Linked DNA regions of Drosophila melanogaster. The protein of the gene in region 1 interacts with the protein of each later gene in a pairwise test. Each region holds a gene or a part of one and is shown on either strand. Other genes may lie near its edges.

Region 1 (5,155 bases):
GAAATTAAAGGGTAATCCCCTTATTACAAGGTCCATAATCCTCTGTATCCTTAGATAACCTTCCCAAACACCTACACCAACGCGTGCTGCAGCCATCCGCTTTACGAAATCGAACAGGAACGTCAGGAGCGCAACGCACAGGGCATCCGTGTGGCCGCTCAACGACGTCTCAACTACGAACTGGGCATTCCCACAGAGGAACTGCAGCCACAGGACTTTCGCTACCTGACCCGCATCCACTACGCAGACACGGGCGACGGCGTGTGGGGCGAGCACGAGATAGACTACATCCTGTTCCTGCAAAAAGACGTGACGCTGCGTCCAAATAGCAACGAGGTCAGTGAGGTGCGCTACTTGCGCCGCGATAAGATCGACGAGGCGGTGGCGAAGTTTAGTGCCCCGCTGACACCCTGGTTCTCTCTGATTCTGCAGCATCGATTGAAACTCTGGTGGGACAATTTGCACCAGCTGGAGCAATTTGAGGACTTGAGTAATATTCAGCGCTTTTAAGTGTGCTAACCAACCAAAAATACACGTAATGACGTCTAAAAGGGGCTTTTGTTCGTTTGGGTTTCAAATTCGCTTTATTCAAATGGAAAATAGTGTGTGTCTGTGTGCGGACAATGGGCACAAAGCGGATTTTATGCAACCTCCGCGGGTCGATCAGTTCAGTACAACGCTTTTGTATATGTAAATATAACAATACATATATAGTTTGTATAGGCGCACGATATTCAATATGTTTCATAGCCTAACTAATGTGTTTGTATGTTGAATATCAAATAACTAATTAGCTTTTAAAATGATCACATTACGTTTCCCATAATCATCATCATCATCGTCATCGTCGCAACAAGAATAAATATGTACAAAAGTACGACTACAGGCTAACAGAGACACAAACTAAAAGTATTGATTCTAGCCTAAATACAGAAGAAACAAACAAAAGACAAGCTGCAGCACTTAACATTAACATATATCGCTTCGGGAGCGAGTTCGAAGCGCGCGCTTCGAGGCGTGAAGTGCAGACCCCGGGCGAATCCGGAGTCGACGTTCACGAGGCACCACCTTGGCACCGTTTCTCTGGGTACTCGAGTAAATAAAGCAATTGCTCGGAAATTCCAACAACTTAAAGCTAGACCCTGCAAACTTCGATCGATGGTTTGCACCTTTACGGCAGGGGGTGAATATATAGTTATATACGTATACGTACTTTTCGCATGCAATGGGGGTCGTATTTGTGGATGTGTGTATGTGTGGGGATCAGGATAAGCGCTTCATCCTGAATTCGATTAGTGGTTAAGGCACATAGGTATGAGTCTATCGTGAATCTCAGGCTCGTTGAATCTATAGAGTTACGGGTTTAAAGCTGCTGGGTGGCACACTTTGTCGTTCAGTTCCATGTGGCTCCTTTACCATTTTCTAGGACAAGCCAAACAGTTTCAGGGCATTAAAGGCAGTGGCCAAAGCCACCTCGTCCGGGCTTTTCTTCATGAAGGCGGCTATCATCTCTACAATGGCGGGCAAACTGCACGGCTCGTTGCGTTGGAAGGTACAATATCTGGAAGGTATTTTGAACTAATAGAAGAGTGACCTATTTTGGTACTTTTTACTTCGCCCACCTGTGTAAGTACAACAATGAGCGTTCGGTGATACCAGTCTTCACGTGTTGCGGTAGCTTGGAAGCCCTTGTGTTTGGGTACATGAAAGGAGCATCCGTCTCCACCAGTAGTCTGTCTAGCGGCAATGTGCCGTCCTCCAGCAGGCGGCGAACGCCAGTATCCGATTTGTCCTTGCACAGGTAGCCCGTCAGGCTGATGTAGAACCTCCGGTCTAGGTACTTAAGCGCCTCCTCGGCGGTGCCCATAAAACCTCTGATGATCACAGGCGGAAGATTCTCGAATCTGCGCGGGGAACAATTTAAAGTTTTGTAAACCAAATCTACGGCTCTTACTTGTCTAGTATTTCGAGTAAATCGAGCTGAGCCGACCGCTCGTGGATCAGCAGAGGTTTATTTAGCCGGATGGCCAGATGCAGCTGCTTGGCGAAGATCTGCTTCTGGGCGTCCGGTTCGGAGAAGTCCCGCTGGTAGTCCAAGCCGCAGGGGCCAATCGCCACACACTCCTGCGCCTGGGCGATGTGCTCCAGATCGAACCACGTGGCCGGCTCTTCCACGATGGACTTGGAGTCGTGCGGGTGAATGCCAGCAGTTGAGTAGATTATGTCGGGATAGATGCGCGAAAGGCGCAGCGCTTCCTTGCTCGATTTGACCGAAGTGCCGTGAACCATTAGTTTCTGGACACCTGCAACAAGAAAGGCGGGAGAAAGTTAGTGCAACGTTCACTGGGCTACAGACTTGTGTACAAAAGAGAAAATATGTGACTTCTGTTTGCTTTCGATCAGATACTCTTATCAGCATTGTAATGTATCCCTTTAAGTAAATGTATTTAAAAAACAAATTTTTTGTTGAATATCAAATCAAATATGTAAAGAGAATTTATCTCTTACATATATTTAAATGTTTATAGTTTCCTTTAAAAATTTATCCTATGCAAATATTGTTGTGTTGACATCTTGGTTATTTGGTTTTTAATCTCCAGCTACGTTCCCATTGAATTTGTAATGCCATCTCCCAGGGCACATATGTACATGCATACATATATCAAAACACAGGCACACTTGTTGCTCGCCAATAGCCCGACCTTCTGGCTGTCTGGGTGTTTTCGCAGCCTCGCCCCAGAACGAAGACACTGCCCGGGTCTTATTAATTATGCCTGCACATGTAGTATCTGATGCTGGCATACAAACCTGCGTCTCTGGCTCTCTGCACCACGGAATCCAGATCACGGCTATACTTCTTGTTGGTCAGATTCGCACCCACGTCGATGACGATCAGGTTCTCAAAGCAGTGCTTCATGTCCAATTCCAGCTGATCCTCCAGCAGCGGGGCCACGGGGGCCACCACCGTCTCCTGGGGCGTCTGTTGACTGGGGTCCATGTTCTGGATCGGAATCTTGGATCTATTATCGACGAAAATAGCTTATGACGCAGGCGATGGATTGCTGGGCTGCGACTGTGTGCGTGGGTAATTCAATTAGCTTGTTTTTGAGGGCGCAAGGAAACGCGACGGCGGTGAAAGCCGTGAAATGTGGATCTACTGAATTTGTTGGAATTTGGAAGAGTTGACCAATTCGGCAATCAATGGTCTAAAAGTTGAGAAATATTAATCTAAAAAACAATCCCGACACGAACTACAACTGCTGGCTAGAGTTGAACAACGTCTGCAGAACGGGTCAGTGCAGGTACTACACTCTGCATGCAATCGATAGTCGGAATCGATACGTAGCACCAAATTATATCGTGTTTGAATTTAAATTGTTATCAAAATAAATATTATGTAATAAAATTCAGTCCAATTATTTGATATAAATATATTTGTTTCATGTATATAGTAGAATTCCGATCATCAATAGTAACATCTTAAGACAAATAATTAAATATTTCACAATACCATACCAGAAGTCGCAACTAAATATAACTGAGTCGAATTTTTTGTTTCGGCAACAGTCATTGTTTTTGGGGATTTAAAACCCAAGCCCACACACTTGCACCGACCCCACCTTCAGTTTTGGTTAAACAAACGAACAAATGAGAATAATGTTTTCATTATATTCTTTCCAAACACCTGCAAGATTATTTAACTAAAACGATTCATTGTATTCAAGTGCGATTGTTTATTTATTTGAGTTGGCCCACACAAAGCTTGTTCATTTTTTTTTATCAAGAAACAAAGGTTTAAACAAGTTCGCCCACGGCTTGATAGTGAGTGTAATATGATATTGCACCGGCTCAATCCTCTATTCTCAGCTTGTGTATGCCGGTGTTCCATGCCACTGATTATTTACGTATCTACAATGGTTAGCAGATGCTCTAAGGGGGAAACTCATTATAATAAACACATCCAACCTACTACTTCCAACAGGCATATTATATTGAGTTCCCCTGTTGATAAACTCTTGTCGGAAGACTTCTGCAATGTACTCCTGGTGCAATGGTATCTAGAACGGTATTGTTATCAGATCATCCGAGTTTCCCTCTATCATAATGTTTTTACTTAACATCAGCACCACCCAAACTCTTATCGATTCAAGAAAATGTACCAAAAAGGGTCACCATTGGTGACATCGCAGGGGGAAAATGGAAGCCAGCTTGCTGATGGCAGTGGAGGAGTTCATCTTCTGGAGACAGTTCACCCTTTTGGCTGGAACTATCAACCACACTCCCTTGGCCATCAGCTGCAGACAGCACTCATCTGCATATGTCTTTCGGCAGTGCGACTTGTTTTCGAATTAACTCTTATCTTTTGGGTACATTTTTAAAATTATAAGCATAATCGTCTGGGGTGGATTGACTACTTAATAGATAATTCCCAATGTCGCAGTATCATTGGAATTAATTGGATTTTTTTTGGATCTGAAGAGACCATTAACAATTCCTGAATAATAAATTCCTATCTACATATATTTCGGAGTCACCCTAATCGATAAATAATAGCGAGGGTGTTTGTCTAGGTAAATTTTGATATCAAATATTCTTATTAAAAATGGGTAGATAAAGATTTATACCGGATTATTCATCATTAAAAATGTTCCCGACGAACAAACGGGTTTAATAGAAAGGCGTCTTGAACGTTGGGGTAAGCAAAAACCAGTTGAGCCCGGTTTCCATGTTGAGATAAAAGAGCGACCTTGGGTGTATTTTTTCTCTATTAATTAAACATGTACATTTTTTATTTGTTTACACTGCTATTGAAAAGATATTTGTGTATTTGTTCAAATAACTTACTTGGTCACTTGGAAGTGGTCACTTCAAAAGCCCTCACCAACCGGCTTGATTATGAGCTCCTTTATCTGGACAGTTGGGGGCGTCTGGATGCAGTAGGTCACCGCATCGGCTATATCCTCCGATCGCAGCATGGGCATGCCTGTGGGTTGCTCCCAGGATCCGGCTTCGAAAATTTCAGTGGCCACTACACCAGGACTGATGCTCTAAAATACGTACATCATTAGAAGTTCTCATGCGAACTGGATGAGCAAGGTCACTTACCGTGATCTTTGTTTGAGTGCCCTTCTTGATGAACTCCTGACGCAGGATT
Region 2 (3,793 bases), on another chromosome or scaffold:
CATTTGAGCAACTGCGTCAGGTGAGTGCCTACCTCTGGCTGGTAACTGTCACAAAGAGGATCTTCAAGATTTTTCCGGACAAAATATGTGTCATTTAGTCAATTTGGGATTTTAGGTCCTAATTATACAAAGGCTACCGATCCGATAATGTATTCCATCTTATCATATATGTAATGAACATTTGGATTTTTCCAATTGTGGTAGCTAAAAGCTTTTAAGAAGGGTGGAATTTCTAAAAATTTGATAATTAATAATCAATTGACACGTTTGATTGGAGCTTATGTTTTTTCACAGATAATCCGTCGAAAATAGTATAAAAATAGTAGTTATAGCCACTCATAATCATATACGAAGCAAATGCTGAGTATTATTATTTCCTGCTAATGATTTTGTTAATATTAATGTCAAGAACCAACTTTCGTTACATAACTTATTGGGGGCTCACAAATAACTATTAAGTAATTTTAATTAAAAATATAACCACTTGTTCTCAAGCACTTTACACGTACAATAAACTCTAAAAAAAACCATTAGTAATGTGCCAAGCTGCTGTGGTTATCAGAATACTAAACAAAACTATTAATAAACATACAGAATGAGGCTTTTATCAGAGGGATTTTGTAACCGATCTAAACCACAAGTTTTCGCATCGTGCGTAATTAAGAACCTATTTTTTTTTTTATTATCTTTTAGGTGGTTGAGGACAGTCCGCCGCGCCTGCCGGAGGGAACATTTTCGCCGGAATTCGAGGACTTCATCGCCGTCTGCCTGCAGAAGGAGTATATGGCAAGGCCCAACTACGAGCAGCTGCTCAAGCACAGCTTCATCGTGGAGCACCTGCAGCGCAACACGGACATCTCGGAGTTCGTGGCCAGGATACTGGATCTGCCCGACGCGCAGCCGGCGCAGTAGGTTAATGGCCGGGTAGCAGGTTAATGGTTAACCCATGGCGCCGCCCCCTTAACCCCTTAAGCCGTGCCCGTGCCCGTGTAAATTGCCGCCGTCTTCTTCTAGCATGCATTTCGTACATGTTGTGTGTGTGTCCCCCGTCTGTGTGACAGCAAAAGGAATAAAACTTTATTTGAATGGAGTCCAAGGAAACCCCAAAAACAAACCCAACAGCAATCAGCAATAAGCGTCAGCTAATCTAAAGATACAAAATGGAAAGTGCATAATTATTAATTTAAGTGAGAGAAGCAACAGCAACATAACCGTTACTAGCAAACCTGCAATATGCATAATGCAACAATCGCCTTGCAACGCTCAAAAATGGATAACCGAACCGTGCCTCCCAGCTGGCGATGCTGCTGATGTCTTGAAGCATAATACCATTTTAATATATATTTTTAAATGAGAATAGCTTAGTCAACGAAAAACAAGAACAGAAGCAAGCAAAGCATTGAATGTAAAAACGTACTAAACTTAAATGATAATTTGTGAACTTTTGAACACCAAAATAGTCGAAAAGAAAGTGTTTATAATTATAATTGTTTAACAAATATATATTACGTAAAATAGCTAAATCCTGTTGTATTTGTATGAGAAATATTCGTTGCAAATGGTGAAAATTCTCAATGTGATTGGTATCACAATCTTAAGAATTTTGTTATTGCCTAAATGGGCAAATAAAACCAAATACTCCAGCTGAAATTCAAAAATTGCGGCCGATTTCAGTGCATCATGAGTGCAACGATGCACCAAATGGAAATCGTAGATATGTATGTACATATATAGATATATGGTATCGATAGCTTTTCATCTGGTATCAGGGTTCCATTGACGTGGAGAACCTTTGCGATTTGCAAGGCATTCCCGCACTACGTGAGTTTCCTATCGATATCGAAGAACTCGCAGATACGCAGAGTATTTACTTTATACAGCTAATGGAGTGGTTAAATTTCTGGAAAATAAACCCCTTTCATGGAATTTCACCCACACCCATGCTTTTCCGGCGCCTTGTGATAAGCTCGCATGGAGGAGTTACTTGCTCCGATATTTCTGGAGCCCATCCCTAGCGGCTGGCCATAAAACCCTGATAATCTTCTGGTCGACTGGCTGAACCATCCAGTGAACCATCCATTGGCCCACGATTAGATTGCTAAAGAAATGGCCAGTGCACGGAACCTATTGTTGCTATCCTCGTCGCGTTTGCACGGCCATGGATACTTGGAGCATGCGCGCGGCCAGCTGGAGGATCTCTTCAAGAGGTAGGTGACTTACCATTTGAGATATGTACATTATTATTCTTTTACAACAAAGTGAATTCTTTCATTGGTAAATTGAACAAACCCTCCGATTCCTTGCAGTGCCAATGTGAAGACCGTGCTCTTTGTGCCCTACGCTCTGCGGGATCACGACAAGTACACTGCCACCGTGCGCGATGCACTGCAGCCGTGGGGATTCAATGTGGAGGGACTGCACACGAAGCCGGATCGCGAGCAGGCATTGCGGGAGGCACAGGCCATCTTTGTGGGCGGCGGCAACACCTTTGTGCTGCTGCGTTCGCTCTACGAGATGAAGTTGCTCGATCCGATTAGGGAACTGGTGCTCCAGCGTGGATTGCCTTACGTGGGCAGCAGTGCGGGCACAAATGTGGCAACTCGATCCATTCACACCACCAACGACATGCCGGTGGCCTATCCGCCGAGCTTTGAGGCACTCGCCCTCGTTCCCTTCAACATCAATCCGCACTATCTGGATCCGGAGGCGGGTAGTCGGCACAAGGGCGAGACGCGAGACGAGCGGCTGGAGGAGTTCGTCGCATACCATGGACTGCCCGTGCTGGGTCTTCGCGAGGGCACCAGTGTCCGGGTTCAGGGCGAGAAGGCCATCCTCCTGGGCGATCGCAATGCCAAGCTGTTCAAGGCGTAAGTACACACTTCCAATCGGACAAATTGGGTTTCATGGTTTCTTACATTCAAATAACTTTAATGTTATTTATACAATTTAAATGTAATTTATTTTCGTTTATTTTTCAGTGACGGTGGCACCGAGGAGCTAGCACCCCTAGCGGATCTCACCTTCCTGCTGCAGAAATAACCAAGCAAAACGATCGAATTAAAGAGAACATTGATGTTTATTGTACATATGCACATTCATAATTTGTTTTATTCTGCAATAACAACAATTCCTACACGTAAGCAGTACACATACAGTAGTTGTACACTATGACTAAATGTATAAAAAGTTTGGATAGAGGTATAACCCCTGACGAGTGTACATATATCTAATAAATTTTGTAATAAATTAATCGGATTTCCCCTCGTAAATCGTAATGATAAGAATTTGACTGGCAGACTTCTTATTCGATGCTAAAACTGATGTGCTGGCAAAATGATCAAATGGATAACATGGATACACTAACAATGGACATCGGCTAAATGAAACTGGCAAGCACTTAAACAATATATATATTTTTTTTTATTTACAATGGGCTTTTTCATTGCCACAAAAGCCCTGATAGCTAGCAATACTTTTGGATTGTTATTTTGTAGGCAAAGTTTCGATAGAATTATGGTTTATGTTTTCAGGCAGCCGATGCTAAGACTTAAGCTCTAACTTTTAAAGAGGAACACGGTCAAAGTAAGCACTCCCCGATTTAGACCAGTTTTTTAACAGTAATTCCTTTTTGTTTTTTGTTTTTTTTTTTGGCACACCGTCTTTGAGAGAGCCCATTTATACAGGGATTGTAACACTTTGAGGCAAGGCGGCATCTGGTTATTTGTCGTACAGCCAAATCGTTCGTTTCACTTAGATTAGTTTAGTTGTATAACACTTAGCTTAACTAGTCGTT
Region 3 (3,533 bases), on another chromosome or scaffold:
TTCAAATGAAGTTAATTAATTTAGATGTCAAGAGATGGATGTAACAGTTGGTAGAACCACTTGGCAATAACTACAGACTCCGTGGGCTTACTATCTTCCGTCCACATGCCATCAGCGCACAAAATCCGTTGTTGTTAGCCAATTTGGGGGCATATCTCTTAGGGATTCGGCGGCCCCTTACGACGCAGAAAAGATCACTCGACAGGGGCGTGTTTTTCATACTTATATGTATTTATATATGGTATGCATTAGTGTCTAGCCCCAAAGCCGTATCTATACCTACCAATCCGGCACATTTCACCATTGCGTAGCCAGGCCGGCAGCGTGCCAATTTTTATTGTTGCGATAATTAGCACTCCGGCTGTGTTTTGATCGATCCGATCAATTAGCGAGCGGCCACCGAGCCCCTTCGGCTTCTACCGGCTTCTAGGGCTCTCCAGATAAATAAATGAGTCCACTTTTGACTGGGCACGTCTAGTATATATGCGTGTGCGTACACAGAAAAAAAAACCTGGTCAATATAAGATAGGCACGGCGTATATTGACAAAAATTGATGGCTTGTAGCCAAAACTTGATGATTGTACATATACATATGTATTTTAACATTTATATCAACAATGAGACATTTTTCTTTCTGTGCACCCTGATTAGATAGTCTACAGCGGAATAACAGATTTAGCCATATACAATGTTTGTTTTTTGCTTTTGAACTGGTCGTTCCTTTAATCACTTTTTTAGGCATTACTCACGGCCCGAAACAATCAACAATTACAGTACAATTATTATATACAGCCGTCTGAGCTCGGAAACAGAATGTGGGATTCCGGTTTGCAGTTGGGTACTTGGGTGCTTGGTTGCTTGGGTTCAATGTGCCACCCCGTGTCGAGTGTGTCCTCCTCAGACACGATTCGCAGGTTGACGGCACCAGGTTCTCACCTCTACTGATGCCCCTTTGACTAGAGTTCCTAAATCAGCTCGCCGCGCTCGTTCACCTTGATCACCCGGACGCGGGCATGCCGGTCGGCCAGCACCTGGTCGATATTCTTGCTGGTACTGATTCCAGAGCTAATGCTGCTATCGCCATCGCTGCCGGTGAACAGTCCCAGATTGTCCTTGATCAGATGGTCGACGGCACAGCCGTCGCACTGTAGGATCACCACGCCGCTGTAGTAGGCCTCTTCGCTGATGGTCTTCGTGTTGCGGGTGTTGCACAGCTTGCAGCGGTACACCAGCTCCATGCGGCGTTGCATGCGTCGGAAGCGCTTCAGTGTCGTCGGCGACAGAGAGCCATTCGCCTGGTTTCCGGACGTGGAGCCTCCCAGGTCAAACTGCTTGGCCGTGAAATGGCACGCATCGAGTATGGAGCGCGGTATGGAAAGCGGTGCTGGACGCGACGATTTTAGGTGCTGCTCGGCATCGTTGGTTAGCGGCACGGCGTCCACCGCTTGTTGCTGCTGGGTGGCGTTGAGGATCGCGTTTTGTCCATTCTGGCGCAAATAGTTGAGAGTTCGCGATGTGAAGATGTTGCGCAATGCGTTCATTTTATGTTGCTACTAAGCGGTGTTGCACATCCGCGTTGCTTTCTGCTCTTGCCGCCCGCTGCAGTGCGTCCTGAATTCTGGCGCCGCACGTGCTGAATGTGGGGTAGTTACTGCGTTTTGTTTTGCCCCAAATGGGGAAGAAAATGGTTAAGTGGAGCGATGAAAACAGCTGATGGCTATCGTTATCGGAGCAGTGCAGGCGGTTGGCCGCTTAAATTCAGTTCTCACATTTTGGCTATTTTGTATCCAGGTTCAGTAATTTGTCTCTATTGGCAGAAGTTTATGTAGTATGAGTTGAAGACTCGTTACAGCATTTCAAAAAGCAAATAACAGAATTTCAACTACCAAATTTGTAGTATAAATACCAAGCAATAATGAAAATTCATAGCTTAGAAATAACTAACGGCCGAAGAACCGAGTTCACCACTGAGTGCCTATCGGATTCGATAATCACAACAAAAGGCAATCGGAGGCCGGCTACTATATTATATAGCCACCAGATACGATTCGTTACCAAACCGATCTCAACTCCCAGAAATGGGCCACTAATTGCTGCTGGAGCATAAATCAAAAGCCATGAACTTTGCACGCCTGAGATTCGGGCAGATGGTCCTTGGAGGACTTCGAATTCCGCGCCAGCAGACGCAGACGCAGTGGATGATGGACCGCCGCCGATGGTTGGCCAGTGAAGCCACCTCATCGGCTGCGGCGCCAGCTCAAGCAGCTTCTGTACCTAGAACTCAAACGCAACCGCGGGTAAAGCCATTGCCGCTAGCCGAGGAGCGCTTGGAGTCGATACTATCGCCCATTCGCACCAGGATCATTCGAAAGAAGCGCTTGGCCATCGATGAACTGTCCGCTTTGGGGTTTCTCAACACCCGTGGTTATACGACCGCCGAGGAGTACAATCTGGAGGATCTGCAGATAGCCCTCCGCGAACAGAACCTGTACGAGACGAAGCGTTTCTTCTCCACAGACAATCTGGACGTGGAGCAGAATGTGCTCTTTGTGGCGGCCAAATATCCGACGGGTCAGCAGCCGCGGGAGATATTCTTCTTCCGCGAGGGCTCGGTGGTCTTTTGGAACTGCAGCGACATCGAGACGAACAATGTGCTAAGTTTCCTGCGCGCCTTCGAAAGGGAATCGTATGTGAGTGCCCTGGTTCACGGGGAGAGCGAGGTGATGCCCTACACCTACATTCCATCGACGGCGGTGGATGTGGAGGGCGATCTGGTGGCGGAGAGCAGCGACTTCAATGTCACGTCACGGGCATTCTTCCAGAATGGCAAGTTCTTTGTTACCGCCGATACGGATAGTTTCCTGTATAAGTACACCTTCTCCAATGCGATGGCACAGTCAATAAAGCTGGGCATGTGGGAGGCGACACTGGACCGCTACATAGACTCCATAGAGCATCTCACCGAGGATCTAAAGCGTGGTCGCCGATTAAGAATCTCGCGGGCGGCCATGCTGCGAAAAACCGGTGAATTATTTGCCCTGCGTCATGTGATCAACCTGTCGTCGGATCTGCTGGATGCACCCGATTTCTACTGGGACCGCGAGGAACTGGAGGCACTCTACCTGCAGGTGTGCTCCTACTTCAGCATCTCACGGCGCACCAAGGTGATGAACGAGAAGATCAACCACTGCGTGGAACTGGCCGAGCTGGTGTCCCACAATCTGAACGATGCCCATCATATCCGGCTCGAGTGGATGATCATAATCCTGATCATGGTAGAGGTGGGCTTCGAAGTGCTGCACTTCGTCAGCGATCACAGTGATTCGCATAAGCTAGAGGTCCTGCCACTGGCTGCTCCTGCCGCCTCGATTCCCAATTAGCAAGTAGGCTTGGTCGATAGTTTTTTGTACTATATTTGTATTTTGACGAAATATAGAATTGTTAGCGTTCCAAAAGTTTGTTTGATCTGTGCTCTATTTTTTTTTTGTCCTTTTTAATTTGTTGTTGCCCGTTAAAAACACCAAACATTACG
Region 4 (4,317 bases), on another chromosome or scaffold:
TAATCCTTGCCGCACTTTCGCTTGCCGCTGATGAGTACAATTTTCATCATTTTTCTGGCGCAACTTTCACTTTTGCTCGCCAACTTCTTTCACAACCGCTGCTTCTCCTGCTGCTTCTGCTTGTGGCCTCGATTTCCTAAGTTCTACGCTGTGCTCATCAGATACTGGATGTGGTTGTGTTCACCCTGGGCCCTGCCACTTGACTCCGGCACTGCGGCCTGTTGTGTTTATGCTAATGCTCCATTCGAAGTCTGTGCTCCAAGTCGCATTTGTTTACCTTTTGTATTTCGCTGGAACAGCAACCAGCTGGAGCGTATCGTCATCGATAGGCGGCCAATCGAGCGGGCTTTTTGAATTTCATTCAGCTCGAGTGGAAACCGTACCGTCATCGATTGGCCGCCAATCGGGCGGGATTTTTGAATTTCGTTCAGCTTGAGAACCGCAAAGGTATTCATAAAATTGTTATCCTGATTTGTTCGCCACGATAACCACTTCACTACTACATTAAGAATTAAGTTTAGCCCAAGCTTTAAAACCGGAGTAGCATTTATTTTTTGGTTCGGGTTGGCCTAACCCCGTAAAATATCTTTAATAGTGTTCAGTTCAGCTTAACATACACTTGTTCACTTAATTAAAAGCCTGCGTGCCTGCGTTAAAGCGTCTACCCTGGTTACTAGCCCCTCGCTTTCGTCCCCCTATCTGTAGTATTGCGACTGCTGCCAGTTGCCACTCGAGCCACCAGTTGGCGCGTCGGTGGAGCCTCCAATCAGGGCACCTGGGCCAACAGCGGAATGGCTGCCACTCGGATTGGCGGGCTGTGCTGCTGCTGTTGCCCCACCGCCGGGTGGCCCAGAACCCGGATTCCCGGCCGCACTGCCAAAGGAGGCGAGCACGCTGCTGTAGTAGGAGGCATCCGCCACCGACTCGGACTGGTGGGGCGTGCCCTTCTTGAGCGTGTGGTGCAGCGAGGCCTTGCCCTGGTGACATTCCTGCGCATTGGCATTGTTGATCCTGGTCAAATTGGCCAGCGTGAGCGTCGAGTGGCCGCCGTGGATGGCGTTTTGGGCGGCGGCGGCGGATCCTGGTGGCGGTATACTACCAATACTACCGATGTTACCGACACCGCCGGTCAGTGGCAGCCGCGACAGGACGGGACGGGACGCAATGGAGGCGGAAACGGATATGGGGACAGACGACTCGGAGAGCTGCAAGGGGCAAGCGGTTGTTTTTTTATAGACAGGACAGCTTAGTTTAGGAGCCATAGCTACCACTCGCCTTGCGCTGCTTGTGCAACTCCAGGCCCAGACCGACGCCGCCCAGATCCGTCATTTTTGGCTGCTCCGCCATGGCTGACAGCTGCGGCTGTGGCTGCAACGGTGGCGGCTGCGGCGCCACATGTCTGTGATTGATGTGCGCCTGCAGGTCGCGTTGCGAAAGGTATGTTCTACGGCAGCCGGAGCTGCCGTAGCGACTGCCGCCGTGCGTGCACATGAACACGGTGCCCAGGCCACTCTGCTCCACGCGCAACACCTTGTCCGTGCAGCGGGGACAACTCTTGATGGGCTCGGCGCGGGCGCACTTGAGGCAAAATACATGCTTGCAGGGTATCATGCGGCCGTAGACGAGGATCGGCTTGTCGCACTGATCGCAGCAGTGGATCATCGGGTTCAGCACCTTCTCGCCGATCAGGCTCACCTTGTGGTTCCACTTAAGGCGCAGCATCGGCTCCGGCGGTCCGCGCGAAAGCGTGGTGAAAGTGGGCGCCTCCAGTTGCGATATGTCCGCCTCCATGTCGACTGCGCGGGCGAGAGATAGCGAGATAGCTTTGTTCAATGCTTCAAGTTTGGATACCAAGGAATTGGTCAAGCCAAGATGTTAATCAATTTAACTATCTTGGACAACCATTCAATAGGGGAGGAGACTCACTTGTTTGGCTCATCACGGGCGGTGGCACTTGCTGCAGGACCTGTGGCTGTTGCGTCGCTGGAGTCATGTTCCCGCTGGCGGCGACCGCTCCTAGCGCACCGTGCGGCAGGGGCTCCTCCAGAGCGCCGGGCGTTTCCAGTTCGCCGTCCTTGTCGAGCTCCTGCATGACCGAATCTTCGGAGGCGTCCAGTCTTCCCGGACTGTCCTCCAGGGCTGCACAGCTGCTGGCCGCCAGGGCTGCGGCGTCGGCGATGCTGCTGTCGTCGATTTTCTTGCCACGACCGCGTCCTCGGCCACGTCCGCGCCCGCGAGCCCTGGTGCCACGCCCTCGTCCGCGGCCGCGCTTCACTTCCTCGGTGTCCATTGTTCACTTGTACTTGCGTGGGATTTTATGCCGGTTTTTAAGTTTTTCGGTTTTTGTTTAGCTCCGCATTTGCGTTTGGCCAGGGTTGTCAGCTGTTCCCACATACGTGCAGTAACTTAGGGTGACCAGTCTGCGCCTAACAACACTGGCCATCAAAAGGTCCGGCATCACTGGTCAGTTTAAAATACAATATTTTTACTTGTTTAATTTTAATTTTATCTGTTTTTCAATTATTTTTAAACTAATTTGAATTTAATGAATGTAAAAAAAAACATAAAAAAAAACAATAATTATAAGCATCTATTTAACCGTTCTTGTATCATATTAATAGCTTACTAATTTCTTTTGTAGCTTCAACATGAAAAAACAAAAGTATTCTGAATAGAAAATGTGAGATCTACATTAAGATAACCTTAAAAACTTAATAATAATTAATAACAAGGTTTAAAATTAGTTTTTTCGTATATAAATTTGAATTTGTAAAATGTTTTTTTAATTACAATTAAATAGTTTTTATTACAAGTTATATTTTTATACTATGCTTTAAAAAAAATGATTTTTGGTATTTGTTGCCTAAAAATATCGTTTATCCCCTTTCCTTATGCTTTAAATTGCGCTCGAATTTATGCAATAACTGAGTTGAGTAGTTCTTCAGCTAGAAATCGGGGTCATTCACCTTGGGTGCAAGGTAGTATCGAATGTGGCCGTAATCCTCGATGGGATACTCCACCAGGAGTGGCCGCTCGTCGGACAGGTAGAGCTTGACGCGATCTGCCAGCGGAGTGGCCTTGGTGAAGGTGTTGAGGTAGCGACCGGCGAAGGACTGGGTCACGGGCTCCTGCACCTCAATGCTCACGTCCATGGCGGTGCCCGCACTCAGCTGAATGTTGGCCGTGCCCAGATCTCCCTTGGCCAAGAACCTGATGCCCTTCGAGGAGCAGGCGATCGTCAGGGACTCGTCGAACATGCTCATGTCCCGGCAAATGCGCGCGAACTCTGACGACGGCAACTGGATGAAGCAGGTGTAGTCCTTTTTCGGAATCTCCATGTGATCCTGGTCCAGATTGAGGAGCTTCAGCTCGTAGTCCGCCGTGCGCTCCTTGCCATCCGACTCGAAGCTGAGCGTAATCTTCTCCGGTCTGTCAACGGCCTTAATGGTGACCGCATCGTCGCTATTGGCGCACTTAAGCACCTTGCCCAGGGATTTCAGATCCAAGCCCAGCGAGACATTGCGATCGCAGTGAAACTTTTCAAAACAATCCGAAGCCAGACTTAGGGCCACCAGCGAAACGTGGGAGTTGTCCATCGATTGCAGCTGGAATATAGAGTTGTAAAAGCTTTATTTCTTATCTCAACTTTTCATTTTCAGTCCCAAGTCTCAATGGAACTACTTAACAGCTTTTATGGGAATTCGAAACAAAATGACAGATGGAGGGTTATTCTCTTCACCTCCAGACCATTTTCACTGCAGTCCAGCGTTCCCTGGGCGATGATTTCCTTTAGTGCATCGACGATCTTCTTCAGCAGCAAAGTCTGACTCAAACGCGCCTCGAGCATTTTTCCAATTTTCAAAATTGACAATCGCTGTCCCGTTAAATTCACAATTGGAAACAAACAAAATGAAGCCAGTCAGCTGTTTCGCTGCAAGTGTAGAGATGCCGGACTGCTGCGGAGTTAAGAACAAAGCTTGTTAGATTAGTTTCGGTTGCGGATTTAAGTTCATTTGATGTCTGATGATGAAGCTAGTGAACATAGATCTTAGAATTTGACTTAAAGCTGTAGGTTAATCCTTTTCTATTTAAGGGTATCCAATTGAAATCACTTAATCCGACTGATCTGGCAGCATCTGCAACACTGGTTCCGGCTCCAGTTCTAGTTCGAGATCCAGTTCCAGCTCGGATCCAGCCATCCAATCCAATATGTTTACGCTTTATTTATTTATTTGTTTATTTATAACCAACTGCTGAGCTCCCCGATGGCCGCCGCGCAGGTGGAGATGCACGCTGCTCCGGCGGCTCCCCATGTCG

The links.
Region 2: the proteins of CG3308 (region 1) and CG2200 interact in a two-hybrid assay, tested with the Drosophila melanogaster proteins (one large-scale study listed by BioGRID).
Region 3: the proteins of CG3308 (region 1) and CG8206 interact in a two-hybrid assay, tested with the Drosophila melanogaster proteins (one large-scale study listed by BioGRID).
Region 4: the proteins of CG3308 (region 1) and Hakai interact in a two-hybrid assay, tested with the Drosophila melanogaster proteins (one large-scale study listed by BioGRID).

The regions. Positions count from the first base shown.
Region 1 is NT_033777.3:21,270,533-21,275,687, forward strand, and holds CG3308 (uncharacterized protein), read right to left. Parts: upstream 3,286-5,155; 5' UTR 2,999-3,285; coding exon 2,809-2,998; intron 2,304-2,808; coding exon 1,955-2,303; intron 1,905-1,954; coding exon 1,623-1,904; intron 1,562-1,622; coding exon 1,423-1,561; 3' UTR 546-1,422; downstream 1-545. Other genes in the region: Idi (Isopentenyl-diphosphate delta isomerase), read left to right, coding at 55-510; CG3301 (uncharacterized protein), read right to left, coding at 4,869-5,048, 5,107-5,155.
Region 2 is NC_004354.4:13,092,467-13,096,259, forward strand, and holds CG2200 (uncharacterized protein), read left to right. Parts: upstream 1-1,832; 5' UTR 1,833-2,106; coding exon 2,107-2,207; intron 2,208-2,306; coding exon 2,307-2,867; intron 2,868-2,978; coding exon 2,979-3,039; 3' UTR 3,040-3,266; downstream 3,267-3,793. Other genes in the region: lic (licorne), read left to right, coding at 1-20, 694-912. UniProt on the Drosophila melanogaster protein: Hydrolyzes dipeptides containing N-terminal aspartate residues.
Region 3 is NC_004354.4:15,737,412-15,740,944, reverse strand, and holds CG8206 (uncharacterized protein), read right to left. Parts: upstream 1,716-3,533; 5' UTR 1,543-1,715; coding exon 967-1,542; 3' UTR 528-966; downstream 1-527. Other genes in the region: CG11679 (uncharacterized protein), read left to right, coding at 2,119-3,381.
Region 4 is NT_033779.5:19,580,081-19,584,397, forward strand, and holds Hakai (hakai), read right to left. Parts: upstream 2,395-4,317; 5' UTR 2,291-2,394; coding exon 1,927-2,290; intron 1,824-1,926; coding exon 1,276-1,823; coding exon of another isoform or gene 1,252-1,275; exon of another isoform or gene 1,206-1,251; coding exon 696-1,205; 3' UTR 532-695; downstream 1-531. Other genes in the region: Pmvk (phosphomevalonate kinase), read right to left, coding at 1-50; PCNA2 (proliferating cell nuclear antigen 2), read right to left, coding at 2,946-3,605, 3,740-3,847; CG10366 (uncharacterized protein), read left to right, coding at 4,266-4,317.